7 linked regions of the Sus scrofa genome follow. The protein of the gene in region 5 purifies or fractionates together with the protein of the main gene of each other region. This does not show direct contact. Links are inferred from orthologs where the notes say so. Each region holds a gene or a part of one and is shown on either strand. Other genes may lie near its edges. The genes, in order: ATP1A1, ROCK2, C14H1orf198, MAP3K1, RHOA, MPRIP and DAAM1.

Region 1 (3,500 bases), on a different chromosome or scaffold from region 5:
GGCCACCCAGCTCCAGGTAGGCGTTCTGAAAGGCGTCCTTCAGCTCCTCGTCCAGGGGCTGCTCCTTGCCGTGGATGAGGATGGAGCTGCAGCGGTCCAGGATCCTTTCTGGAGCACCTTTCATCACCAGCAGGTGCCGGGGCTCAGCCGTGTTGGGGTTCTTGTGGATGGACAGCTGGGAAGGACAGTGGAGGTGTAAATGCTGGATGGCCGGGCGTGGTGGCCCCAGGAGGCAGCTGCACTCCCTTAACTATTTAGGGCCTGTTTTGAAAAAATACCCAGGATCCCCTCCCCCGATGAAACACGCTTTGAATGCTACGCAGGAACCTCGCACGGTGAGGTGCTCATATATCCCTGACATACGTTCAGATCCAGAATTTTCCAGAAGAAAATTCAGAATGAAGGGATGGCACACACGTGTGCACCTGCGGCCCTACCAAGCCCCCTCCCCCCAACACCATGCTCACTCCGACCCCCACCTGAGAATGCAGAAGGGCCCCGACTACATTTTAAAGGAGGCTTCATTTATCCCACTGATATTCAAACAAACCAGAACGTTCTTTCTACCTGCAGTCAAGGTAAGACATAAAGCTAAAGCATTTCTGAAAAGCGTGCGTAATTCATTTTAAGAAAGCAGTTGCGCGTGTACAATTCCCAAGGGGAAGACGGTTCTCCCAGCTCCATCTTCGGACCTGGTACTTGTTGGTGGAGTTGAAGGGAATCTCGACGATCTTGGTGTATCGCTCCCTCATCTCCTTCACGGACCCGCAGCACAGCTCGATGCACTTTAAGAGCGCGGACTCGGAGGCGTCGCCCGCCACTGCCCGCTGCAAAAGAGACCCTCTGTTAGTCCCCCTGCCAACAGGAAAAAGGAGGGGGAGCTCGGGCGAGGAGGCGCACAGCTGCCGGGAGTGACCGGAAGCATCTCGGCCCTTCGGAAGCAAACTGCAACCTCCTCCTCCTTGCCAGCGGGACTCCCCCCCCGCCCCAACTTGGTGCCTGAAGGTGTCACCTCCCCGTGGGAGAAGGCCAACACCCCTCCCCACCTCCTTCAGTCTCTCGTTTTAAAAAAATTTTATTGAAGTATAGTTGATTTATGCGGTTGTGATAATTTCTGCATCATACGCACATCCATTCTCTTTCAGATTCTTTTGCCATGGAGATTGTCAGAGAACACCTGGTACAGTTCTCTGTGCTATCCAGCAGGTCCTCGTTGGCCAATCCGGCCTCTTTTTTTTTTGTTTTGTTTTGTTTTTTACTTTTCCCAGGCCTGCGGGGAAGTCTCTGAGCCAACACTATTCCCAATCACCTATTTGGGGTTAGGAATCTAAAAGTGGAGAGTGAGTCAATACGGCACGCTTCTTCGCCCTGCAGTTTAAAAGAAGATGCCTTGGGTTCTCAGGACCACAGGCAAACTGTCTGTGTCAAGGGCAAAGCCGAGGACTTGACATTCCCAACATAATTCAATTGTGCAGAATTATCTGGGGCTGAAGGGTGCGGACTGAAAGCTATGATGAGCTCCAATGGTCATGTAATCAGCCTAACGTTTTAGCGAATGCCCCCACTTCAGGTAACACATAGTTCGTGTGATGTACTGTGACACACTTACATGGTGACATAGACTGAAAACATTTCCAGCTATCGCCAACTTATACAGAGAGAAACATTTTTGAACTCTGGCATGCCGGGCCGTACATGTAGATGAGCAAATTAATGCCCACTTACAAATGCAGCAGCCTTGTTTAATAAATGTGGCCAGGTTTGGTGAGAAGCATAAAAGAAGTGGGATCATTTTAGTAAAAGGCCACAGTTATTGAAGCAGAATAGGCCTGCATGGTTTTTTTTTTTTTTTTTAATAATGCCATTAAAATAACATGGACCCAGAGTTCCCTAGTGGACTCAGCATTGTCACTGGCCTGAGAACTTCCATATGCCTTGGGCATGGACAAAGGGAAAAAAAAATATATATATATATATATATATATCCCCCCAAAACTCAAAAAACAAACAAACACCCCATGGCCCCAAGCCCCTGAAATAATTAGAAATATATCACATGCTACCTTTCTGGAGCTTTTTTTTTAATTATTATTTTTTGCTTTTTAAGGCCCACCTGCAGCATATGGAAGTTCCAGGCTAGCGGTCAAATCGGAGCTACAGCTGCTGGCCTACACCACGGTTACAGCCAGGCAGGATCCAAGCTGCATCAGTGACCTACACCACAGCTCATGGAAATGCTGGATCCTTAACCCACTGAGTGGAGGCCAGGGATTGAACCCTCATCCTCATGGATAATAGCTGGCTGGGTTCATTAACTGCTGAGCCATGGACGGAACTCCCTCTGGAGCTTTTAAATGAGGCAAGGTTTGATACTTGTGAGTCTCTGTGCTCATAGGCTAGAAAATTTCCACTTTGAGGTAAGGAAAAACATGAAATGAGCATCTCAAGTTTTATCCCAAGATAAACAATATCCTCCTTAAATCAACGTCAATTCAATGCCAAGAGATCTCCTTTACGGAATCAAGGAACCCCATGTTCAAGCCACCCCAGTTCCACCAGAACTATATTCGCTGACCGCTTGGCTTCTACCCAGAACCACCACAGGGGGCGTTGGTGAGAGTGAGCCCACCCAGAGGGCCCCACACAACTCTTTCTCACCCTCAAGGACCCTGTGCAGCTCGTGACCTTTCTGGGTCTTCGACTTTTACTAAGCAACACAGTAAAATCTCAGTCATTTCAAATTTCATGTGAATTCCATGAGGCTGAGTTTATTTTTGCATCATTAGTAGGCAAGCTAAGAACAAGATAAGAGAAATAGCTGAGCTATTTTAAGAAAATAAATGGCTTACGAGATTTACTGGAATCTACCGTATCCTAATATGCAAATGCGATTATTGAGTCACACAAGCAAGGAGCCCTCACTGTCCACTAGGTTAGGGGATTATCAGATAAATTCAAGAGCAGTCAAACTGGATTTTGGGACTTAGGTTTTTTCCACCAGTAAAGACTGCCTCCCCCCTCCCCCAAACCTCCTCTGGTCATTTTTTTTTTTTTTTTTTTGGTCTTTTTAGGGTTGTACCCCCTGCACATGGAAGTTCCCAGGCTAGGGGTCGAATCAGAGCTGCATCTGCCACCCTACACCACAGCCGCAACAACACCAGATCCGAGCCACGTCTGTGACCTACACCACAGCTCACGGCAACACTGGATCCTTAACCCACTGAGAGAGGCCAGGGATTGAACCTGCGCCCTCATGGACACTAGTCGGATTTGTTACCGCTGAGCTACAATGGAAACTCCTCTGGTCAGTTTTTAACTATATATTCCCCCCTTTATGGACCTATTTGGACCACAGGTACTGTAAATCCTTTGGGATCTACAGGCAACACAACTCATTACACACAGCAAAGCATCCCATGGACTGTTCCAAGTGTCCTATGGTGAAGTTACTTTAAAGCCCCCCAAGGTCATGTGCCACTTAAAACACACACACATATAGG
Region 2 (3,500 bases), on a different chromosome or scaffold from region 5:
TTTCGTGGGAAATCAGCTGCCCTTTATAGGGTTTACCTATTATAGAGAAAATCTGTATGTGATTTGTTTGTTGTGTTTTTATTGTTTGTAGGAGCTATCTATAAAGAGTTGTCTTACTTCGAGACTCTGAATTATAGAAGACAAGGTTAATTTGTTTTAAACTGAGTTTTTTTCAATGAATATTATATGATATTTGTTTACAAATCAGTGTGAGGCAATAGTCTGTATTGTTGGGGGTATGTAAAGTAATACCAAATACCTACTTTTGAAGGAGCTTGTCAACTAATAAGGGATATAATTGTGAGAGTTATATAGGCATAATGAAGGGTAGAATGTGATATTTGCCTTAAGAAAGTTACCAAAAAGATCTGAGATGGTTCCGAAGAAAAATAAAAGTTCTGTCTCATTGGGGCGAGGGTGGGAAAAGTCAGGTAAGACCTCAGGAAAAAGGTAGCATTTTAGCTGAGACTAATGATAAAGGGTTTTGAGTGACTGAGATGTAGGGAGCTTGGGGGAGTATAGTGGCGAGGTGAATAATAGAATCAAAAGTTTGGAATGTAAGCATCTATTGGGGACAGAGTGGTACAGTCCAGGAAGGCTCAAACGTAGGGTAAATGTCACTATGTTAGGAGGACCGTTTGGAGTATCTAATGGGACTGTATTTTTCTTGCCTGTAATTCTCCCATCTGGTGCAGAGCCTATTACAAGATCGTTTAATAAATATTGGTCAACTGGAGTGAGTATTGGCTATAAGATTAGAAAACAGATTGGAGATGGAGCTTAGCGGAAGCTTAATAAAACGGTTGTTGTGTGCTGTGCTAAGGGACTTTAGACTTTGACAGGCATTGAGGGGCCATTGAAAACTGTTCAATAGTTGAGTGAAGCGTTAAAGACATTTAAGAAACATAGATTTGAGAAATTTCTTGTACTTCCATGTATGTAGTGGTTGGGGTGATCAACCATTACGGTTTGGACTGAGGGGTTTACTAGGATGTGGTGTGGGACTTTTATGCTTCACCTGGGAAAATCCCAGCAAACCAGGTTGAGTTGTTCATCCTGCTAATGATAGTGCTCTGAAAATTGTTGTAATGCCGACTAAAATGAGGGTATCAGTGCCAGGCATGTTTATAAACAGTGAGAGAGGAGTTGGCAGTTGAATAGATGTGATGACTTAGGTATTAAGATCTGAAGATCCAAAGGTGTTGTCTTTGAGGGAGTTCCCATTGTGGTGCAGTGGAAACAAATTCACCTAGTAACCAAGAGGATGCGGGTTTGATCCCTGGCCTTCCTTGGTGGGTTGGGGATCCGACATTGCTGTGATCTGTTGTGTCGGTCCCAGACTTGGCTTGGATCTGGTTTTGCTGTGGCTGCGGTGTCGGCCGGCACCTGTAGCTCCAATTCAACCCCTAACCTGAGAACTTGGCATATGCCGCAAGTGCGGCTCTAAAAAAAAGGAAAGAAACAAATGTTATCTTTGAAAAGGAGAGATGTCTCTTTCTAGAAGATTTCTAGAAAAGAAGGATAAAATAGTTGAAGTTCCCGTCATGGCTCAGCAGAAACGAATCTGACTAGCATCCATGAGGATGCAGGCTCAATCCCTGGCCTCCCTTAGTGGATTAAGGATCCGGCATTGCTGTGAGCTGTGGTGTAGGTTGCAAACTCAGCTCAGATCCTGCATTGCTGTAGCAGTGGTGTAGGCAAGTGGCTGCAGCTCCAATTGGACCCCTAGCCTGGCAACCTCCATATGCCGCAGGTATGCCCCCCCCCCCCAGAAAAAAAAGAAGAAGAAGAATAAAATAGTCATAGAGTCATAGGAACTCAAAGGAGAGGGAAGAAAGTATACAGTGCTGCTTGGTGACCCCAGTCTCAACAATGTTGAGGACTAGGACATCCACTAAGAGTGAGAGGCAAGAAATATTTAATGTTTTAAATGGTCGGAAATGATATAAATCTCTAGAGGGGAAAATATTGCTTCCTTTAAAATATGTTGAACTGAAAAGAAAGATAATCTTTGTGGTTGGAATTTAATTCTGAGGATGACTTTGTATAGAAAATGAATTAAAATGACATGCAAAATAATTTCTTTCCTGCTTTTCCTTCTAGGTTATTAAGTGACTCTCCATCTTGTAAAGAAAATGATTCAATACAAATAAGGAAGAATGAAGTATGTATAAATTTTTACTACTTTATTTGTTTTTTTGTCATTTTGCCCTTTTCTAGGGCTGCATCCCACGGCATATGGAGGTTCCCAGGCTAGAGGTCTAATCGGAGCTGTAGCCACTGGCTACACCGGAGCCACAGCAACTCGGGATCTGAGCTGTGTCTGCGACCTACACCACAGCTCATGGCAACGCTGGATCCTTAACCCACTGAGCAAGGCCAGGGATGGAACCTGCAACCTCATGGTTCCTAGTCAGATTTGTTAACTACTGCGCCACGATGGGAACTCCCTTTACTACTCTATTTTAATCACATGTTCAAATATTTTAGTAATATCTGTATTTTAAAAGTCCAGTTGATGCCTCTTTTAGATGGCATTCTTTGTTGCAATTCAGTTCAGCATAGCATTGAAATGATTCATTTATTTGACAGGTATTGTATGGAATCCAGTGGCTGATGAGAAGATGAATTATACATGGCTTTAGGTTTAGTTTTAGTACCAAAAGTGGTAGAATAGGGTTACAAACAGCTGTATTTTCTACCAGCCAGAAAATTTTATCTTAGTACTATAAAATGTTCAGATAACAAGCTATAAGGATTCAGAAATAGTTGAGAGATTTAAATTTTGAGTATTTAGGAATGAATTCACATAAAGGATAATTTTATCAAAATGTTATAGTATTTTATAGCCTCTGTACTTTGTAACTATATACAAAGCTATATCGTGCACATAAATGTGGCTGCTAAACATTTTTCTCTTCAAAACATATAAAAACTAAAAAAATTGGTTGGGTCATTTTGGTATGATTTGTGTTTTAGGAATTTTCACAAAGCATAGTAATCTTTTTGATGTTTTTGTGTTTTGTTTTAAATAGGAAAGTCAAGAGGTATGTTGATGTCGAATATGTTGAAAAACAGACATACTCGTCACTCTAGCAATGTTCTGATGTAACCATATCCTACCTAGCATTTGGAATACTGCATCTACCAAGAGAGAAGTTCCTAACCTTTTTTCTACCAAGTATTTTTTTTATTATTGCTCCTATGGATTTTTTGTTTAAAAATGTATATTGCACATTTTTTGGTTTTTATTTATTGAAGATATATACCTAGCAGCAAGAACTTTTGATTAGCATGTGGTAACTAGTATGATCAAGTTATACTAATGCAGGAGCAACCAAAAGCTGTTAAACTTTACTAGTTCATTGGCCTGTCTTTTCTTACTAGGGAAATAATACAGTTTTGCTTAAAGATATATGAAATATATTAGAAATCATGGAGAACTAATCACTAGAAAGAATAGTGGAAAGAACCTTGCTCTTAGAATCTAATAGACTTGG
Region 3 (4,296 bases), on a different chromosome or scaffold from region 5:
CGTTAACCACTGCGCCACGACGGGAACTCCTCCAAGTGTTACTTTAGACGCAAAGCTCCTTAGTAACACCTGAAATACGGTCTTTTTTGTTTTAAATGTGGACATTTAATCTAGTCCGAGACCTGTTACAGTGTTGTGCAAATCAGCCAAGATAGAAAAGCAGACAGGGCTCTGCACAACTTTGATAGATGTATTCTGGGACACACCTGGCCCCCAACTACTGGGATGCCTATGAAACGACTCCTCTACTCAACTACTCCTCTGCCTGAAAACTTTCTGCTGCTCTTCAGTTGGTTTGCAAACATCCAACTGCCAAGAGTTTTGCGATTTCTGAGATTCCAAAGGAAATCTTGGAGAACGCAAAGGCCACTCGGCAGGCTTCGGAAAAACGCCTTCACCTGCAGAAGCAAAGCGAAGAACAGATTCACCAGCCCGCCGGCCCGATGCCTGCCCAGAAGTTCCGAGCTCTCTCCTTTTGGGGAAAAGCGCTATAAGGATAAGCTACCTGGCGCTTCATTTTACTCCTGTCTTTTCAGGAGGCGCGGGAAATGATTTTCTTTAAACACTCCCGACACCAGTCCAGTCTCCCCAGCTCTCTTCCGTGCCCTCGCTGCCCGGCGCCCACCCCTTCTATCAGCTCACCGCTCTGGGACCCTGGCCCAGGTCTTGGGATGGCTCAAAGAAAGCGAAGATGGCTCAACGGGGACAGGGACATGATAGGAATAAGGCGGCCGTTGGCTCAGTCCAGAAATGCCGGGCTTTCTTAAGCACAGCGGAGGGAGAGAAAAGTTTCCTTTGTCAAGCGACCACGTGGCGCTATGGCGGTCACTACCAGCAATCCTGCCAGAACGCCGGGTGCAGACTTGGGGACACGCCAGTCATCTCCCGCGCTGGCCAAGGGAAGCCCCGAAAAGTGGAGGCACCACGGAAGCCGAAGACAGCAGATCTGGAGGATGCTGTGAGGAGCGGAGGGCGGGATCCTTGGGGGGGTGCATGGGGCGGGATTCCCGGGGGTGGGAGGATGCGGGAGGCGGTGTTCCTGAAGGTGGGGGCCGCGGAGGGTGGGGTTCTCGGGGGCGGGGTGGACGGATGCAAGGGGCGGGGTTCCGGGGGTGGGGGCGTAGGGGGCGGGGTTCCCGGGGTGGCACGCAGGGGGCGGGGTTCCCGAGAGTGGGGGCCGCGGAGGGCGGGCCTCCCGGGGATAGGGACGCAGTGGGAGGAGTTACCGGGGTTGGGGCATGAGAGGTGGGGTTCCAGATGCGGGGGGCCCACGGAGGGCAGGGTTCCCCGGGGGTGGGGGGCGCAAAGTGCGGGGATCCAGGAGGAAGAGGTGGGCGTGAGCAGGGCTCCCGGAAGCAGCGGGGCGCGGAGGGCGGGGTCGCCGGAGTTGGGCGGGCACGGGGTGGGACTGCAGGAGGTGGGCGGGCTCGGGAGGCGGGGTTCCCGGGGGCAGTGGGGCGCTGCTCGCGGGGCGGCGCGGGGGGCGGTGCTCGGGCCGCAGGGCGGGGGTGGGGGCGGCGCGGGCGGGGAGCGACGGGCTGGCAGGGCATGGCGTCCATGGCGGCGGCGATCGCGGCCTCGCGCTCGGCGGTCATGAGCGGGAACCGGCCTCTGGACGACAGGGAGCGGAAGCGCTTCACCTACTTCTCGTCGCTGAGCCCCATGGCCAGGAAGATCATGCAGGACAAGGAGAAGATCCGGGAGAAGTACGGGCCCGAGTGGGCGCGGCTGCCGCCCGCGCAGCAGGACGAGATCATCGACCGGTGCCTGGTGGGGCCGAGCGCCCCCGCGCCCCGCGACCCCGGGGACCCCGAGGAGCTCGCGCGCTTCCCCGGGCTGCGCGGGCCCACGGGCCAGAAGGTGGTGCGCTTCGGGGACGAGGTAAGTACGGGCCGGGCCCCTACCCGCGCCCCGAGCGCCCCCGGCCGGGCGGACACCTGCCGGCTAGTGGCCGCCGCCGGCAGGCGCGCGGGCAGGGGCTGCAGAGGAGAAGGTGCAGGACCCGGAGTGGGTGGGAGGGACGGCCCAGATCCGGAGCTCTGGGGGCCGGGGCTCCCGGGGATAGTTTGGAGTATCTCAGAGAGGAGGTCTTTCTAGACCCTCCACCGCGACTTGCCCCGCCGGGCAGCATGGGACCCGAAACCGCTCCCAGAGCTAAAAGGCAGACCGAAGTGGCAAGAAGAGCAAGGGATTAAAGCCAGGCAAACCTGAGTTCTGTTCCACTCTGCCATTTAGCTGTCTGGCCATGGGTCACCTAACCTCTTGGGGCCTCTGTACCCCCGGGGAAACCGGGAATAGTAGTACCCATCCCAGGCCTGCCAGGGAAGGCGATCAGCAAGTTGTATATATATATATATATATTAATATTAATTATATATATATATTAATATTAATTGATGAGCTGTGTGGGGAGCGTGAAATTGTGAAGATAACAAGCAGGAAGAGGTGCCTTCCAGGGTTAGGAGGCAAAATCCGAAGCCCTAAGATGTTTCCGAGGAATCGTGCTGTGAAGCTTTGTTTTGGGAGTGAGCTTGGTGGTCCCGTTTTCCCACCAAAAAGCTAATGTAGACGTTTACACAAGCCCTGGGAAGACTTTGGTACATATAAGGGCATGCATGGGCCTCTGACCTAGACATTCATTGTGCCGGGACTTTTTGGAGGGGCGGTCATTGTGAAGGGAGAAAAGACTCAGACCCCAGGGAAGAAACCTCAGGGATGACCCACACAAAATTGTTCTGTGCTGCCCAGAAAGTTGGTCTTTTTCTTGGGAATGTGGTTACCTAAAACCTGTTGGGTGCCATTAGAATTTGCCTTCAAACTCAACTTTTGCTGTGAAGGTCAAAGTGGGACAAGCAGACTGAGAGGTTGGCATCCTGTGAGGGCCTGGAGGCTGCGGGGAGGAGGGGCTGGGCTTGGAGAGGTTTTCCGAGGAAGTTGTGAACGGTGGAAGGAATTCTAGTTAAGAATGAGGCTTAAATCTGAGTTTTAGGCGTGGGTGTGCTGAGACACTTATTAATACAAAATGTTTGTGGCTATAAACCCACTTGAATGCGAGGGAAGTGTGAGAGGACGGAAATATGCTGCCAGCGTTGCCATATCCTGACAGAATTAAAAGAAAAGTCTCAGAAGGCTTTGCCAGGAAAAACGAGGGTGTGGTAAACGGAAGAGATGAGAATATAGGTTTGAAATATATTCCTAGAGCTGAAACATTTTTAGTGTGAAAACATGCACCTCTCCAAAGACATTTGCAGGGTTGGTGCTCAGATCTGGGTGATGGAAAAGCAGGCAGGCCCTCTTTGGAAAAGTTAGGAATACATGACTTATGCGAAGACATAAACCTGCAAGTACTTAGAGATGTTGGAGCGTGACTGTCATTTTCCCTGAGCTTGCTGTCCGGCTAAGAATATACACATGCCTGCTCATCATCAACAAGCCCAGGCCCTAAAAGGGCCCAGTGTGGCTGATAAGGGAAGAAGACATGGCCAATTTTCTACTCTTGATTCCTTACCTGGGCGTCAGACCAAGCTGTTAGTGAATTTGTGAATCTGTAAACCTAAAGCCATTTAACAGCCAACGGAACTTTTCATTGTGGTCTCTACCTGTCCTTCTGGGAGCAGAAGGGCCCTGGTTTTCAGAATTGAGCTCAGCTTTGTGAAATGGGCTGGGAGCGTGTGTTGGAATGCCTCTGACCAGCCTCTCAGCGCGCATGGCAGAGAGAGAGTTTGAGGAGAGGTACAGAGGGACATTGCCTAGGGTGTATTTTTGCCTGCAGCAAAATACAGTGTGATTTAATTGCACTGGAGTGTCTACAACGTGTTCCTGGTACTTGGCAAGAGGTTGGTAACAGAGTGGACCTGTTGTCTCAGGCCCAGGAGGAGGGCCATTTGTGGAGGAAGGCGGGCTCCTGGGCACAAGGCAAAGGACAAGGTGAGGATAGGCTGCTGGGCAGAGTGGCCTGAATAAGTGGCCCCAGCTGTATCCAAAAGGGCCCTGAACCAGACTGAGGAGGGCAGTCCGACCCTTCCCATTTGCTCTGTCTTCAGATGTGGTTCTCAGGGCCTTCCCGGCTGCTCCTGGAACAGAGAATGCTCCCCAGCACCCTCCAGTGCCCTCCTAGCTCCACTCCATACCCTCCCCCAGCATCTCCAGTTGCCTGCTGATGAATGGGTGCTCAGGTGAACCCCAGCTCTTGCTTTAGCCTGTGTCTGACCTTGGATGATAAACAGGGCGGCCCACGTAGATACTCAGGAAAGACCACTTGGGATACTGGGCTCTGAGGGCCTTTTCCTAAGGCTG
Region 4 (3,500 bases), on a different chromosome or scaffold from region 5:
CTGAGGATGAAAAAGCATTTAAGCAGAAGAGAAAGTAAAGGAATGGAAACTGTCCTTACAAATAAAAATGACTAATACAAGGCAAATACCACATATTTTTTCTTACTCATCCATTTAACAATTTTTTAGTACCTAACATATACCATGAAAAATACAGAAAGAAGAAACTGACTTTAAATGGAAGCAAATAAGAAAATGACAGAAATTCTTGGAAGGAATGGGATTAAACACTGGGACAAGTTACTATTAAATGGATCCTCTATCCTTGGGTAAATGTTTATGTCTGTCAGTTCAGGAAGATGTTTCTAGAGATGGGAGGTAAGACTACAAAGAATTTTTGAAGTTTAACTCTGTAAGTGGCATAGTATTAACACCAAAGGTAAAATGAAAATTCTCAATGAAATGAGTCATGATGGAGATAAGCAAAAGTACTTTCTTAAATTATAAACAACTGGGGAGACAACTACATTAATTGGTCTATAAATGTTTCATGGAGAACTGAAGAATAAGAACTACTTACCTGAATCCATGGCTCAGCTAAATCTTTATAAGCAGGAGGGATCTGCTGAGTTCCATAATGAGTAAGGTTAAAATTGCTCTCCTGATTCCTTCGTTGTGATCCAGCTAAGGGATGCTGCTGTGTGGTTTGCTGCTGTGCAGCTCGCAGGGAAGAAGGGGAATCCACAGGGCTTGACAACTCATGGCTAAATGAAAAATTAACAAAGCTTGCTAAAAAAATTAACGGATTTAAATAACACTCTGAGAGCATTTTTATTAAACATACCCAAATCATTAATTCATAATTTTTACCTGTAAAAATCATGGGATCTCCACTTAGACCTACAAAGGGGGCATATTAAAGGTTCTCTATTTCTTCTACATTCTTCTGCCCCTGAAAAATTAAGGAAAAAAACACTGACAAAAATATAAATATTTAACATTAAGTATTTATGTAATAATTGTTCATAATGGTTAATCTAGAATTTATATGGAAGGAACCTCAAAAAATTCTAAACATAGCAGGTTATTCTAATGCTCGTAATTTCTGCAAATGCTATTTTTTAAGTTATATAAGATGTATTTTATGGACTCTCTTTCAAAACATTCTGCCCACTTGATAAACTGGTAATGCTATTCCAGAGCTTGCTTTGATGTTACCTTTTCTGGAACGCCTGTCCAGGCCTTCCTACACCTCCTTCCCCCAATGTGCACCTTCCAGATCACAACTCTAATTCTGTGAGTGACTTCCACTACCACACGTGTCACACTTTCTAACATTTCTTTGCTCACATAGTTCATCTCCTAAGAGATCCTGAACTACTGTTCATTGAAAACTTCACATATAGCGTAAATATACTTCTTTCCTTCTCTCGCTAGTCTCCCCAGAGGCTATGTTCAAGTCCTGAATCATAGTTAGCTCACAGAGTAACTGTGTTGAATAAGCATAGGGAAAAAAAAGCCACATACAGATTGACATGCAGTGGTGGTGCAGCTTGTTCCTGCAGCCATCTTCACACACTGTAAGACTTTCTTCATCAAGCATACCCAACAAGCAAATAGGACACATCTGTTCCTCTTCATCTTTTATACTATAAGGAAGAGGAAACAAAAGCATTATCCACAAAAGAATGTAAGAGAATTAATGCCATATTGCTAAAAACAATTTTGGTTTCTTTGGACTATGAAAAATAATTTAAAATTCTTGTATAGGTTATAAGAGAAGTATTTCTCCTGTTAATACACAGTAATTCTGAATCAGATTCACACCATTATGAATTTACAGGTTGTGGGTATGGTTTAACCTTTTCTTGCTATGACTATAATTCAATATATGAACTACAATCTTAAGAGAAATATGTGTCCCCAAAATTCTGTTATTGGACCTTTTGAATAAACAAACTGCTAATAAGGTTTAACTATGTACAAGCATACTATATGCCAACAGTTTCAAGATTTCAAGTATTGGAAGAACCACAGAGCTCATCTATTCCACATCCTTAAGTATTAAGACCCATATCAGACACTTTTGGTAGGTTTATAAACTGATCCAACTTTCCTAGAAACAAATATATCACATTTTTAATGCATATAACCTTTCAACTAGCCTTCAAGGAATATATCATAAGGGAATGGACACAAATAATAAAGATATATTTGTGTGAATGTTCACTGCAGTATTATTTGGCATATTGGAAAAAAAATCAACCAAGTGAACATCAAAAAGTGTTTTAAAAAAATGGTACACCAAGACACTATGAAGTCTCTGAAAAGGATCAAAGAGATCCATGCATGATGACAAAGAAAAATATCCATAGTATGCTGTATGGTGAAAAACAACAGATAACATGACAGAATTCTAGCTTTTTTAGAATGATTCCATTTATGGCAAAATTATAACTTTATTATGTATATTTGAATTATATATATTTGACTATTCCTATTATACGAAGTGGATTTAAAATTGGTAAAAAAAATATTAACAGTAAAATGAGAAAAGAAGATAAATGAAAAATACCAGTAGCCAATAAATTTGGAAAAAGTACAAAATACATGTTAAATTAATAAAGCTCTATCTTATTTTATTTGTCTTTTTTTCTGGGTTGGTGGAGGATAATCTGACCCACACAAATTAAATAGGTTGATAATGGCACAGGAAAACAGGTTCTCATATATATTACTGGTAGGAATAAAAAACCTGAAATTTTTGGAAAGGAATTTGCTAGTATTTCTTCAAGTACTAAATGTATATACCCATGACCTAAAAAAAAACCTATTTTCTAGGATGCTGTCTTACAGAAGTATTTTGTGTGTAAACAAAAAAGAAAATTTTTTGCATTTAACAGGCAAACAAAAAATCAAAAGTGTTACTAAATGTCCATTAATTATGGCAATGGTAAAATATATTGTGTCTCATCCATTCAGTCTTATGTAGCCAGCTACTAAAAGAAAGTAGTGTATATTTTTGTATTGAGGAAAATTTTCTTGATATATAAAGTAAAAACATTTTTTAAATTTAAAAAAAAAGTTGCAGATTAAAATATATAGTTTTATATTTATTTAAAAATAAGAAAGATGAGAGTAGTATTGGTGTGTGTGTGAATCTGCATAAGCACAGAGTACAGAGAAGAGTTTTTAAATTCCTTGCTTTTTATAATTTGGGAGGGGGCACCTGCAGCATGTGGGAGTTCCTGGGCCAGGGACAACCTGTGCCACAGCAGTGACCCAAGGCACTGCAGTGACAATAACAGATCCTTAACCCGCTGCACCACAAGATAACTCCTAATTTTTAAAAGATGTATTAAACTATTAACAAGTTATTTTGTGTGCAGCCCAGAATGAAGGGCAAGGTTTTATTTCTATTTACAAATTTTTGTTTGAACCTTCAGGATGTGATGAGTGGCTTTTAAAATCAGTATTTCCATTACAACATAAAGACAAGATTCTGAGTTATTATAAATAAGTTGCCCAAAATCACAGAACAGTTTGTAGCAGATTTATCA
Region 5 (3,500 bases):
CTGGTATTTCAAATGATTTGAGTGGCTTTAAAAAATGAATGATAACCAGCTGGAGTTTGTGTGTGACTCAACAGGATTGGCAGCACTTCTGGAGCACTGGGATGCAGGTTCAATCCCTGCCCTACACAGTGGGTTAAAGGAGGATCCATTGTTGCAACTGTGGCTCCTACCTGATCCCTGGCCCCAGAATTCCATATGCTGTGGGCTGGCCAAAAAAGAAAATAAATAAATAAATCAAAATAAATGATAACAGCTGTAGCTTCTTGCCAATACTGCAGTAATTTAGAAAGGTTGTATGTACACCATGGTGTACAAGTGGCCTGGGTTGAACTTCCCATATCTGCCACCTTGAGCATCTCAGGGTCAGAGATACTATAAAACAGGTTAACACTAATATCTTACTTAGTTTAAATGGTCCTGATTGTAACTTGAGACTGAATTTTCTTTTTTCCTTTTCTTTTTTTTTTTTTGTCTTTTTGCCTTTTCTAAGGCCACTCCCTCGGCATATGGAGGTTCCCAGGCTAGGGGTCAAATCTGAGCTGTAGCTGCCGGGCTATGCCACAGCTCACAGCAACGCTAGATCCTTAACCCACTGAGCAAGGCCAGGGATCAAACCCGCAACCTCATGGATATTAGTCCACTGAGCCTCATTTATTGTTATTTTTTCTTTTTTTTGGCATCCCCATGGAATATGGAGTTCCCAAGCCAGGGATTAGATCCAAGCCACAGCTGTGACCTACACCACAGTTGTGGCAACAGTGGATCCTTAACCCACTGTGCCAGGCCAGGGATGGAACCTGCATCCTGGTGCTCCAGAGATGCTGCCAATCCCTTTGCATCAATGGCAGGAACTCCAAGGCTGTATTTTAGGAGTAAAGTGTTCACTCTCTGACCTCAACACATTACCAAAAGGCAGGAGTCACTGAGAATGTGGAACCACAGAACTCTCTCTCTCACAACACCGGATCCATAACCCACTTAGCAAGGCCAGGGATTGAAACTGCATCCTCATGGATATCAGTCAGATTCATTACTGATGAGCCACAATGGGAACTCCAAAAGCAAGTTCTCTTTCAGGTCTTGGTGCCTGTTTTTGCAGTGTGAAGTCAGATTCATTCATTCTTTTTCTAAATGAAAGGACATTCTGAAACATGGGGCCAACTGAGCTACTGGAATGGTCAGGTTCAAGTCTTAGCTGAGGCACTTTATTATTATTATTATTATTATTAACGATTTTAATTTTTCCATTAAAGCTGGTTTACAGTGTCTGTCAATTTTCTACTGTATAGCAAAGTGACCCAGTCATACATACATATTATATATACATTCTTTTTCTCCTTCCATCATGCTCCATTATAAGTGACTAGATATAATTCCCAATGCTATACAGCAGGATCTCACTGCTTATCGAGACATTTTATAAAAGAGCTAAAATACGGCTTTAAAAACACTACCAAGATGCAAACTATTATACATAGAATGGATAACAAGGCCCTACTGTATAGCACATAATACTTCCACAATGGAAGAGAATACTTAAAAAAAAGAATGCAATATAACAGAATCACTTTGTTATATAGCAGAAATTAATACTACATTGTAAATCAACCATACTTCAATTTAAAAAAATTTAAAAAACAAAACAAAAACACTTTGAGGATTCAACAAATCAGCAGTCCAGACAGTGGGAGGCAGTAGGCTCAATATCAACTACTTAACACCCAAAAAATCCTTCCCCAAATCCTAGTCTAAAAAATAGCTTTGTATTTAGAACCTACCTACCTTCCAAGATGAACATGGCAGCCACAGGAGACCTAAGCTGAAAAGGGATTTGGGGCTCAGGCTCTACAGTCCCAAGGCTCTAGGACCCTGGCAACTGATGATTCCTTCTCTGAAGCTCATGTCAGTTTTTCAGCCATTTAAATGCCCAGAAAGGACATGAGAAACCAAAGGTCGGCCAAGTACACAGGCAGTGACAGACATTAGGCTACAGGGCTACTCACCTAAACTATCAGGGCTATCAATAGAGAAACACATCAGTATAACATCAGTATCCGGGTAGGAGAGGGGCCTCAAACGATCATAATCTTCCTGTCCTGCTGTGTCCCACAAAGCCAACTCTACCTATGATAGGAAAAATAAACATAGAGTACAGGTTAATCCCATTACTTACTTTCAGAAGAAGTGACACTTACCATAGTACCTTCAAATGACAGACTGTTCAAAACAGTAAAATACAGATTGGAATCAAACCTGAAGGTGCTAAGAGGTATTTACACTGTTTTAGGTTACAATTTCTCAAAACTGCAAATTTTATAGACAGATAATAGAACTGAATAAAGTACCTAATTCGAAATGTTCAGTCAAAAATAACTTTGTAAAAAATAATAGTAACTAAAATAACTTTGTAGCTTTAAGTATTTAATCATAAATAACATTCTATATAGGAAAGAAAGCAGATGAACAAGAAGAGAAATCAATTATAAATAACATTCCACCAGGTATACAAAGCAAAATAGGAAAAAATCAAAATAAGTAACTTTTCCTGTTAAATTCTCTCTTTTTTTTTTTTGGCCTTTTCTAGGGCCGCTCCTGCAGCATATGGAGGGTCCCAGGCTAGGGGTCTAATTGCTGGCCTACATCAGAGCCACAGCAACTCGGGATCCGAGCCACGTCTGCGACCTACACCACAGCTCATGGCAACGCCGGATCCTTAACCCACTGAGCGAGGCCAGGGACCGAACCCGCAACCTCATGGTTCCTAGTCAGATTCATTAACCACTGAGCCACGACGGGAACTCCTGTTACATTCTCACTTAACCATTTCCTTACTTTGTCTCATCATTCTGTTCCAATGTGGAAATAAGATTGTATTTCAGTTAGTGGTTAAGTAAAGACACCATCCTGGGTATCAGGCAAGGTCTGAGCTGACAGGATAGGCCTATTATTGCTCAAAAAATGAATGAATGGCTGGATGAAAGCATCACATAGGTAGGAGGTTCTCCTTTCATACCTGGGAATTGGATCACCTTCCAGCAGTAGGAAGGCAAATTGATGCCTGGGCTTTGGACATAAGGCTCCCTTTCAGCACTGCAGCCAGCCCTGTCACTTCTTACCACCACAATGAGATTTTTACAACCCTCTGTTCAGGGGCCCTTTGGGGCTCAAGGAGTTGCCCCTCCAATGCCTAGAATATCCTTCTTCCCCAACATCTTTTTTTGGGGGGCTTTTTAGAGCTCACTAGCGACATATGGAAGTTCCCAGGCTAGGGGTCAAACTGGAGCTGTAGCTGCCGGCCTCCACCAAAGCCACAGGAACTTGGGATCTGAGCCATGTCTTCGAACTACACTACAGCTCACGGCAACACCAGATCCTTAACCCACTGAGCAAGGCCAGGGATCGAACCCACGTCCTCATGGATACTAGTCAGATTCATTATCGTGGAGCCACAATGGGAATTCCTCCCTCTAACATTTTCGGAGCCTGTATTTCAGTTTCTA
Region 6 (3,500 bases), on a different chromosome or scaffold from region 5:
GGGCAGAGCCCAGGCACCTGGCTCTCTGCTCCCACCCATGCCCCCAGGCCGAGCCAGGGGCCAGCAGGGCAGGCGCGGCCGAGGGCGGGCAGGCGGGCGGCAGGAGAGGGCGCGTGGCATGAGTGCAGGAAGCCAGGTAGCGGCGTAAGCGGGCTGGCCGAGGCATCCCGTCCTTGACGGTTGTGGGTGGTTTGGAGGAGGTCCCGGGCCCGCTCAGGCCTTGGAGCCGCATGTGCAACAAGAGCTCTCCCCATCGGCCCCGGCCTGGCCAGCCCGGGAGGGCCCTGGGGAACAGCGCCCGCCGGGTCACATGCGAATCGCCTGCCACAGCACTGCCAGGGCAGCGCGGGGTCAGCTGAGAGGAGGGGCGCAGCCCCTGCGGGGCTCTGGTGAGCTGACCCTGGCTGACTGTGCCCAGGGGGGCCTTTTAATCGTGGGTCCCCTGGAGTCCTGCAGGTAGGACAGCAGAGCCTCTCGGAGGGGCTAGTGACGGACAGATCCGCCTCCCCAGGTTCTAGCTGAGGGGCAGCTGGGACCACGGGCAGCTGGCCCTGGTGCGGGGCACCAGCAGTTCAACAAAGGCCACGCCTCCCCACGCTCGCTCGGCACTGGCTCACAACCCAAGAAGTGTTTCACAGGCTCCGGGGTCCGTCGGTGGACCCCTTCAGGGCCACGGCCCATCCAAACTAAGCCCCGAGGTCCCCCAGCCGGGCTCCTGGGCAGCTGCGCCTCTGGGGACGGTGGCCGACCTCCTGCCATCTGGGGTTCGGTTCTACACAGACATTGCGGGGCTACTCAGGACCAGAGAGCAGGCCTCGGAAAGTGACAACAGCCAGTCAGATGTCATCAGGGTCAGTAAGAAAGTGACATTACAGCGTTAGGACACAGAGGTGAGGGGCTCAGGGAGCCAGCACAGGGGAAGGCCCACCCCCACGGTGGCAAAGAGCAGGCGGAAAGCAAAGCCCCAGAGATGCCGTCTACCCCACGCCGCCAGCCGAGAGGGATTTAAGCCAAGCAGGTGTGCTGAATGTTAATTCTTTGGTCACCGCCAAACCAGGTGTGGCTGCCCACTCAGGGGCCTGCAGGACGCAGCGAGGAGGCCCCGTGGCCTCCTGCAGCCGGCAAGCCGTTCACGTGCAGTTACGTGAGTTAAGGACAGCCTTGGCCTCACCCCGGATCTGTCCCAGGAGCAGGGCCCTCCCGTTCCCGGGCTGGGCCTGGGCTCGGTGGCACAGCTCTGCTGGGCCAGGCTGTCCCCCTGAGGTGTCCCCTGCTTCTCGACCCCGTCTCTGCCCCCATGTGCTGGGATGGCTGCTGATGCCCCGGGCAGACAGACCGGCTGGGAGGGTGCCTCTCATGAGGACTTAAGCACGCTGTCCCCTTCTCCCCCCAGTCACGGGTCCCCAAACCTGGAGGGGACACCGAGGAGGTGGTGGGTGGTAAGCAGCAAGGGGGCAGGAGAGCAAAGCATCCTGTTCCCAGCCGGCCTCCTGGCAGGGAGCCCGGGCCGCCCTGGTCTGTCCCCATAGCGTGCCCCAACTCTGAGCTGGGCTTGAGCTCGGGGTGGACGGGGAGGACATGCTGCAGGTGCTTCTGGAGCCTGGGTCTGACCCTCCTTCCTAGAAGCAACCTCTTTGAAAAGGCTTTGCTCTCCCTGCTCCCCGAAAGCATGCAGATGCTCCAACGGCGGCAAGGTCCCCGCGCCTCCGGTGGCCCCCCCACGCCCCGGGCAGAGGCTCCAGTCCAGCTGGGGGTGGACGCCCTGGCGGGAGGGGTCCTCGGGCGCTCTGGGGCAGGCCTGGGCTCGTAGGCCTCAGGGACGGAGCCACACTCCCTCCCCAGCTCTCGGGGACGCACAGGGGCCCCCACCCTGAGACCCAGTCCAGGCCCACGGCTCCACCTGACCCAGTCCCGGGCCCACCTCCAAGCCCCGCCTCTCCCCAGGCTCTCGTGTGGACGAGGGAGGGCGGGGGGAACACGTGTGCCACTAGCGTGTGCGAGTGTCCGCAGAAAGCCCTGAGGGTGGGGAGGGCGTGCGCTGCGGTGCCTGCGCCAGACCCTCCAGCCCCCTCTTACCTCCGCTCGGTGCCAAACAGACGGGCCACCTCCTCCCTGCCAGGGCTCCGGGCCCGTGTCCTACGCTCCAGCCGCCTTCTCTCCACCTGGAAGGCTTCTCGGTGGCTGATCCTGATGGCCTTGGGGACGTCGGCCAGGGTGGCATACTGCCTGCCGGCTTTGAAGGCGGAGGCGGGCCCCAGTCTCTCTGCTCCCCGCCTGCCGGTGCTGCCGGAGTCCACGTGGGCCTGGGGCCGGCGGGCCGCGTCCAGGGAGGAGCTGCTGCAGACCCCTCGGCCCGGGTGCTGTGGACCTGGCGGAGGAAGGGGACGACCCGGCTCCGGGGAGGGCGGTCCGGGGCCACTGTACCTGGTGTTGGGGGCGCTGGGGCTGGGAGGGGAGAGCGGCGGCGGCAGCTGCTGCTCCTCGGCCTTCACGTCCTGCTTGGTCTTCTCCAGGGAGAAGTAGCCGCTCTCCACCCGGACTTTGCGGCCGCCGTCCACGCGGTCGCTGCTCGTGGCGCTCTCCTCTGGAAGAGCGGGGACAGGAGACGTGCTCGGCCTGCCGCCACCTCTGGTCCTAGGATCTTTCAAGAAGGGGCGCAGCCCACCCCCGGCCCTCCCTAACCAGCTCCCGTCAGGCCAACAGGGGTCGCTGAGCTTCTGGCCACACACCCAGGAGGACCCCAAGGGCCAGCCGGCCGTGCAGGCTGAGCGCATGGTCTTGGAGGGCGGGGGGAGGGCTTGCAGCAGCGGGAGGGTGAGCGGGCTGGACATGGGCGGTGTGTGTTGCCAGGGGAGGGCCAAGCCGGACCAAGCGCATTCTGCCTGAGGGACCAGGGCCAGTCTCGCTGGCCCCCTCAGCCCTAGTGACCTGCTTGGACAGGAACAGGGAGGCCAGCCCGGGCCGTGCAGAGCCCTCCGGGCCCGGGCGGGGGACGAGGAGGCACCTCCCAAGTGCAAGGAGGCGGAGCACCAGTGCCAACCGTCTCCTCCGCGGGGCCTTCCGCCCCCGCCCCATCCAGGGGCCGGGCAGGACGGGACAGCGAGGGCAGCGGGGCCTCTGGTGCTGACCAGCCCTGACACGAAGCGGCACCGGGCACAGGACCCAGAGGCCCCCGTACACGACCCCAAGGCCCAGAGTCGTGGTCTCGCAGCCCCTGCTGGGCCCCGAGCAGGGACGTCCTCCTGCCTCACTGACGGGACCCAAGAGCTGGAAGGCGGGTTGGGCTCCGGGCCCTGAGTCCCAGCACCAACTCCGTCGGGGGGCCTGTACTAGTGCCGTCTCTGCACTCTGTACTTACCGTCTCTGCTCTCCAGCCCTGGCTCCCGCAGGGTGCTGGCGGCAGGAGGCTGGCTCTGGCTTGGACTCTGGGCCGGACTCAGGCTGCTCCCATCTGACTGGTCCTTGGCCCGCATTTCTTCCTGCCAGAGTGTAGACTTGGT
Region 7 (2,630 bases), on a different chromosome or scaffold from region 5:
TATTTCTCAAGCTTTTTTGTTTGTTTGTTTTTTCTTTTGTTTTTCTTTTTAGTCTAGGGAATGTCTCTGTTTCTCTCTTTCAGGAGAGAGTTTTGTGCTTCTGAACAGTCGTCGTTCAGGGGAAGATGAGCCACACTCAATATGAATGCATATACAAAGGGGTTCTGAGCACATACATAAACATAGATTTCTTTTTCTTTTTAACCAAACATATAGGTCTCCAGACAACACTCAGACTTCTATATACATTTCTTAATATATACACACACATACATTTACATACACATTCACACATCCACTCACTCACAGATGAAAGGAGAAATTGCCACTGTTTGGATTGCAAGGCAGTGTAATGAAAAGTTCTAGTCACTTCAAAGGGCTGCTAATGAGCTTTCTAAAAATGTTTTCCAGGAAAATTAGAAATTGAGTTTTGTGACTGGTCTCTCACGGCTGCTGTCTGTCATCTGGTTGGTAATACGCTTGCGATTCCGTTTGAGTTTAGAAAGGTCTTTGTCAAACACTTCTCCTGAGCGCAGAGCTGAAACCAGGTCATCAAACTCTCCACCCTCCTCACTGTTCTCTTTCGCCTTCCTCATTTTCCGTTCCCTTTCACGTTGTTCTTTGAGCTGCGAAAATGGAAAGCAACCTCTTAGAGAAGTGTCAAAACACTGTATTTTGCGTTCAGTGGAGACGAATTCTGTGGAACATGGCCGAGGCTCGGTCACAATGAGTCATGTTCACTGACAACTGCCGTCCCTTTTGTATGTCACAAGAGAGGGTGATTGGGATGTGAGATCTCATCATTGAAGCAAGGAACAATGAGGAGTTCCCATTGTGGCTCAGGGGAAACAAATCTGACTAGCATCCAAGAGGTTCGATCCCTGGCCTTGCTCAGTGGGTTGAAGATCGGGCATTGCCATGAGCAGTGGTGTAGGTCACTGATGCGGCTCAGATCCTGCGTTGCTGTGGTTGTGGCATAGGCTGGTGGCTACAGTTCGGATTTGATCCCTAGCCTGGGAACCTCCATATGCAGTGGGTATGGCCCTAAAAAACCAAAAAAACAAGGAACAATGAAAAAATTGACCATCTCCTTTGTGATTACACTCTCACTGTTTAGAATCTATGTAAAACTCATGATAGTCTAGTTTTTTAAAAAAAAGGAATTGAGGCTAGTCACTCTTCTATGATGGAATGAGAAAGTTATCTCAGTTAAACTGACCCCAAATATCGGCTGCTTTGATGGTATAGAGACTAAAGCCAAAGCTCATTAGGCCATGCTGCTGACATCAAAGGCCTAGGCTCTTCTGACTGTGGATGCCTGGAACCCACTAAAGAGTATGTTTATGAAAAGCAAAATAATACGCATACATTATAGAACATTTAGATCTTCAGATAAACACAGGGGAGAAAAATCATCCTTAATTCTATCAAGAGATAACCATTATGAACCTTTTGGGGATATATCCCACCAGCATTAACACAACTTTATACACACACAGATATTTCATGTAGAAATAAGCTTTCTCACATCATTAACTATTCTTTAAAGACATGAAGTTTAAGGACTGCCAAATATTCCATTATGTAGCTATTACAACATTTAACTAATGCCCAGTTGGTAAATACCCAGGTTGTCTCCAGGTTAGGGCTTATTATAAAGGTTATTGGTCTCTTCATGCACATTTATGATGATTGAGTTCTTTAGAATGATTTCTAAAAAGTGGAACTGCACGTCACAGGATGTGGATGTAATTTTTCAGGCTTTAGATATATACTGTCACATTGCCGACTTTCCACTGATGGAAGCTCCCAAGAGCATCTCTGATGCCCGCCTTGTCAGCACATCAGAATGCTTTCTGAAAACCAAGGAGATGAGGTGACAGAACGTCCAGGAGGTGGAACTGGCAAGTTAATCACCCTCCTACCTGAGCCTCTAAGCGCGCTCGGCGCTCTTCCTCCTCCTTCTTCTTTCTCATGTTTTCATTCTCTTGTTTGGCTTCTGACACAGCTTGAAGAAACTGATCAAAAATGCCAAAGAACTCATCTGGCTGTATTTTGCCAGCCTCTTCTCCAAAGTGTTTCACTGCTTTAGTAAACTGGAAAAAAAGAAGGTTTTACGAAGTTCAGTGTTCCATGGGAATGCCATGATCAAATAAATATAAATCTCTCTAGAGGGGCTAAAGCTCAAATTGAGTCAAATATAGGGCACGGGATTTATCTCTGGTTGTAGAACATGACTCTCATTTCTAAAGGAGGAAATTTAATACTCCTTGACTTTGGAGACCATTGATTCTTCTCCACCTCATTTCAGCTTAACACCTATGATTACATCCTATGACTTTTTATTGACTAAAACAGTAGTAAAAACAAGAAAGCAGAATATGGTAGGGCAGAGCACTAAGGACGTAAAACTAATGGCAAACGCAGCAGGGGTAAGGGAACTTTGTACTTTTAGCTTTTCTTTGAAGTACTTTAATATCACTCATCGGTGCCATGTGGTTAATATCAAAAGCAAATGGGATACATTGTTTCTTAGTTGTTTTTCCTAATCGTAAATAATGCTGGTATTACTATATTTCCTGGGTCTCGATTAGAAAATAGCCAATTATGGAATCATTAATACAACCCCA

What was found.
Region 1: the proteins of RHOA (region 5) and ATP1A1 purify together in Homo sapiens (affinity purification with mass spectrometry; 3 studies listed by BioGRID and IntAct, with this or other methods). This does not show direct contact. The link is inferred for Sus scrofa from reciprocal best matches to the Homo sapiens genes RHOA and ATP1A1.
Region 2: the proteins of RHOA (region 5) and ROCK2 purify together in Homo sapiens (affinity purification with western blotting; 3 studies listed by BioGRID, with this or other methods). This does not show direct contact. The link is inferred for Sus scrofa from reciprocal best matches to the Homo sapiens genes RHOA and ROCK2.
Region 3: the proteins of RHOA (region 5) and C14H1orf198 purify together in Homo sapiens (co-immunoprecipitation; 3 studies listed by BioGRID and IntAct, with this or other methods). This does not show direct contact. The link is inferred for Sus scrofa from reciprocal best matches to the Homo sapiens genes RHOA and C1orf198.
Region 4: the proteins of RHOA (region 5) and MAP3K1 purify together in Homo sapiens (affinity purification with western blotting; 4 studies listed by BioGRID). This does not show direct contact. The link is inferred for Sus scrofa from reciprocal best matches to the Homo sapiens genes RHOA and MAP3K1.
Region 6: the proteins of RHOA (region 5) and MPRIP purify together in Homo sapiens (affinity purification with mass spectrometry; 3 studies listed by BioGRID and IntAct, with this or other methods). This does not show direct contact. The link is inferred for Sus scrofa from reciprocal best matches to the Homo sapiens genes RHOA and MPRIP.
Region 7: the proteins of RHOA (region 5) and DAAM1 purify together in Homo sapiens (co-immunoprecipitation; 6 studies listed by BioGRID and IntAct, counting the BioPlex papers as one, with this or other methods). This does not show direct contact. The link is inferred for Sus scrofa from reciprocal best matches to the Homo sapiens genes RHOA and DAAM1.

What each region holds. Positions count from the first base shown.
Region 1 is NC_010446.5:104,363,017-104,366,516, forward strand, and holds part of ATP1A1 (sodium/potassium-transporting ATPase subunit alpha-1), read right to left. Parts: intron 828-3,500; coding exon 693-827; intron 176-692; coding exon 1-175. UniProt on the Homo sapiens protein: This is the catalytic component of the active enzyme, which catalyzes the hydrolysis of ATP coupled with the exchange of sodium and potassium ions across the plasma membrane.
Region 2 is NC_010445.4:125,454,073-125,457,572, forward strand, and holds part of ROCK2 (rho-associated protein kinase 2), read left to right. Parts: coding exon 1-54; intron 55-2,103; coding exon 2,104-2,164; intron 2,165-3,035; coding exon 3,036-3,047; intron 3,048-3,500. UniProt on the Homo sapiens protein: Protein kinase which is a key regulator of actin cytoskeleton and cell polarity.
Region 3 is NC_010456.5:59,515,258-59,519,553, forward strand, and holds the start of C14H1orf198 (uncharacterized protein C1orf198 homolog), read left to right. Parts: upstream 1-1,496; 5' UTR 1,497-1,548; coding exon 1,549-1,881; intron 1,882-4,296.
Region 4 is NC_010458.4:35,924,301-35,927,800, reverse strand, and holds part of MAP3K1 (mitogen-activated protein kinase kinase kinase 1), read right to left. Parts: intron 1,590-3,500; coding exon 1,468-1,589; intron 893-1,467; coding exon 811-892; intron 705-810; coding exon 521-704; intron 1-520. UniProt on the Homo sapiens protein: Component of a protein kinase signal transduction cascade. Activates the ERK and JNK kinase pathways by phosphorylation of MAP2K1 and MAP2K4. May phosphorylate the MAPK8/JNK1 kinase.
Region 5 is NC_010455.5:31,921,708-31,925,207, forward strand, and holds part of RHOA (transforming protein RhoA), read right to left. Parts: intron 2,125-3,500; coding exon 2,004-2,124; intron 1-2,003. UniProt on the Homo sapiens protein: Small GTPase which cycles between an active GTP-bound and an inactive GDP-bound state.
Region 6 is NC_010454.4:61,109,405-61,112,904, forward strand, and holds part of MPRIP (myosin phosphatase Rho-interacting protein), read right to left. Parts: coding exon 3,359-3,500; intron 2,585-3,358; coding exon 2,077-2,584; intron 1-2,076. UniProt on the Homo sapiens protein: Targets myosin phosphatase to the actin cytoskeleton. Required for the regulation of the actin cytoskeleton by RhoA and ROCK1.
Region 7 is NC_010443.5:188,506,335-188,508,964, reverse strand, and holds part of DAAM1 (disheveled-associated activator of morphogenesis 1), read right to left. Parts: intron 2,097-2,630; coding exon 1,926-2,096; intron 627-1,925; coding exon 417-626; 3' UTR 1-416. UniProt on the Homo sapiens protein: Binds to disheveled (Dvl) and Rho, and mediates Wnt-induced Dvl-Rho complex formation. May play a role as a scaffolding protein to recruit Rho-GDP and Rho-GEF, thereby enhancing Rho-GTP formation. Can direct nucleation and elongation of new actin filaments.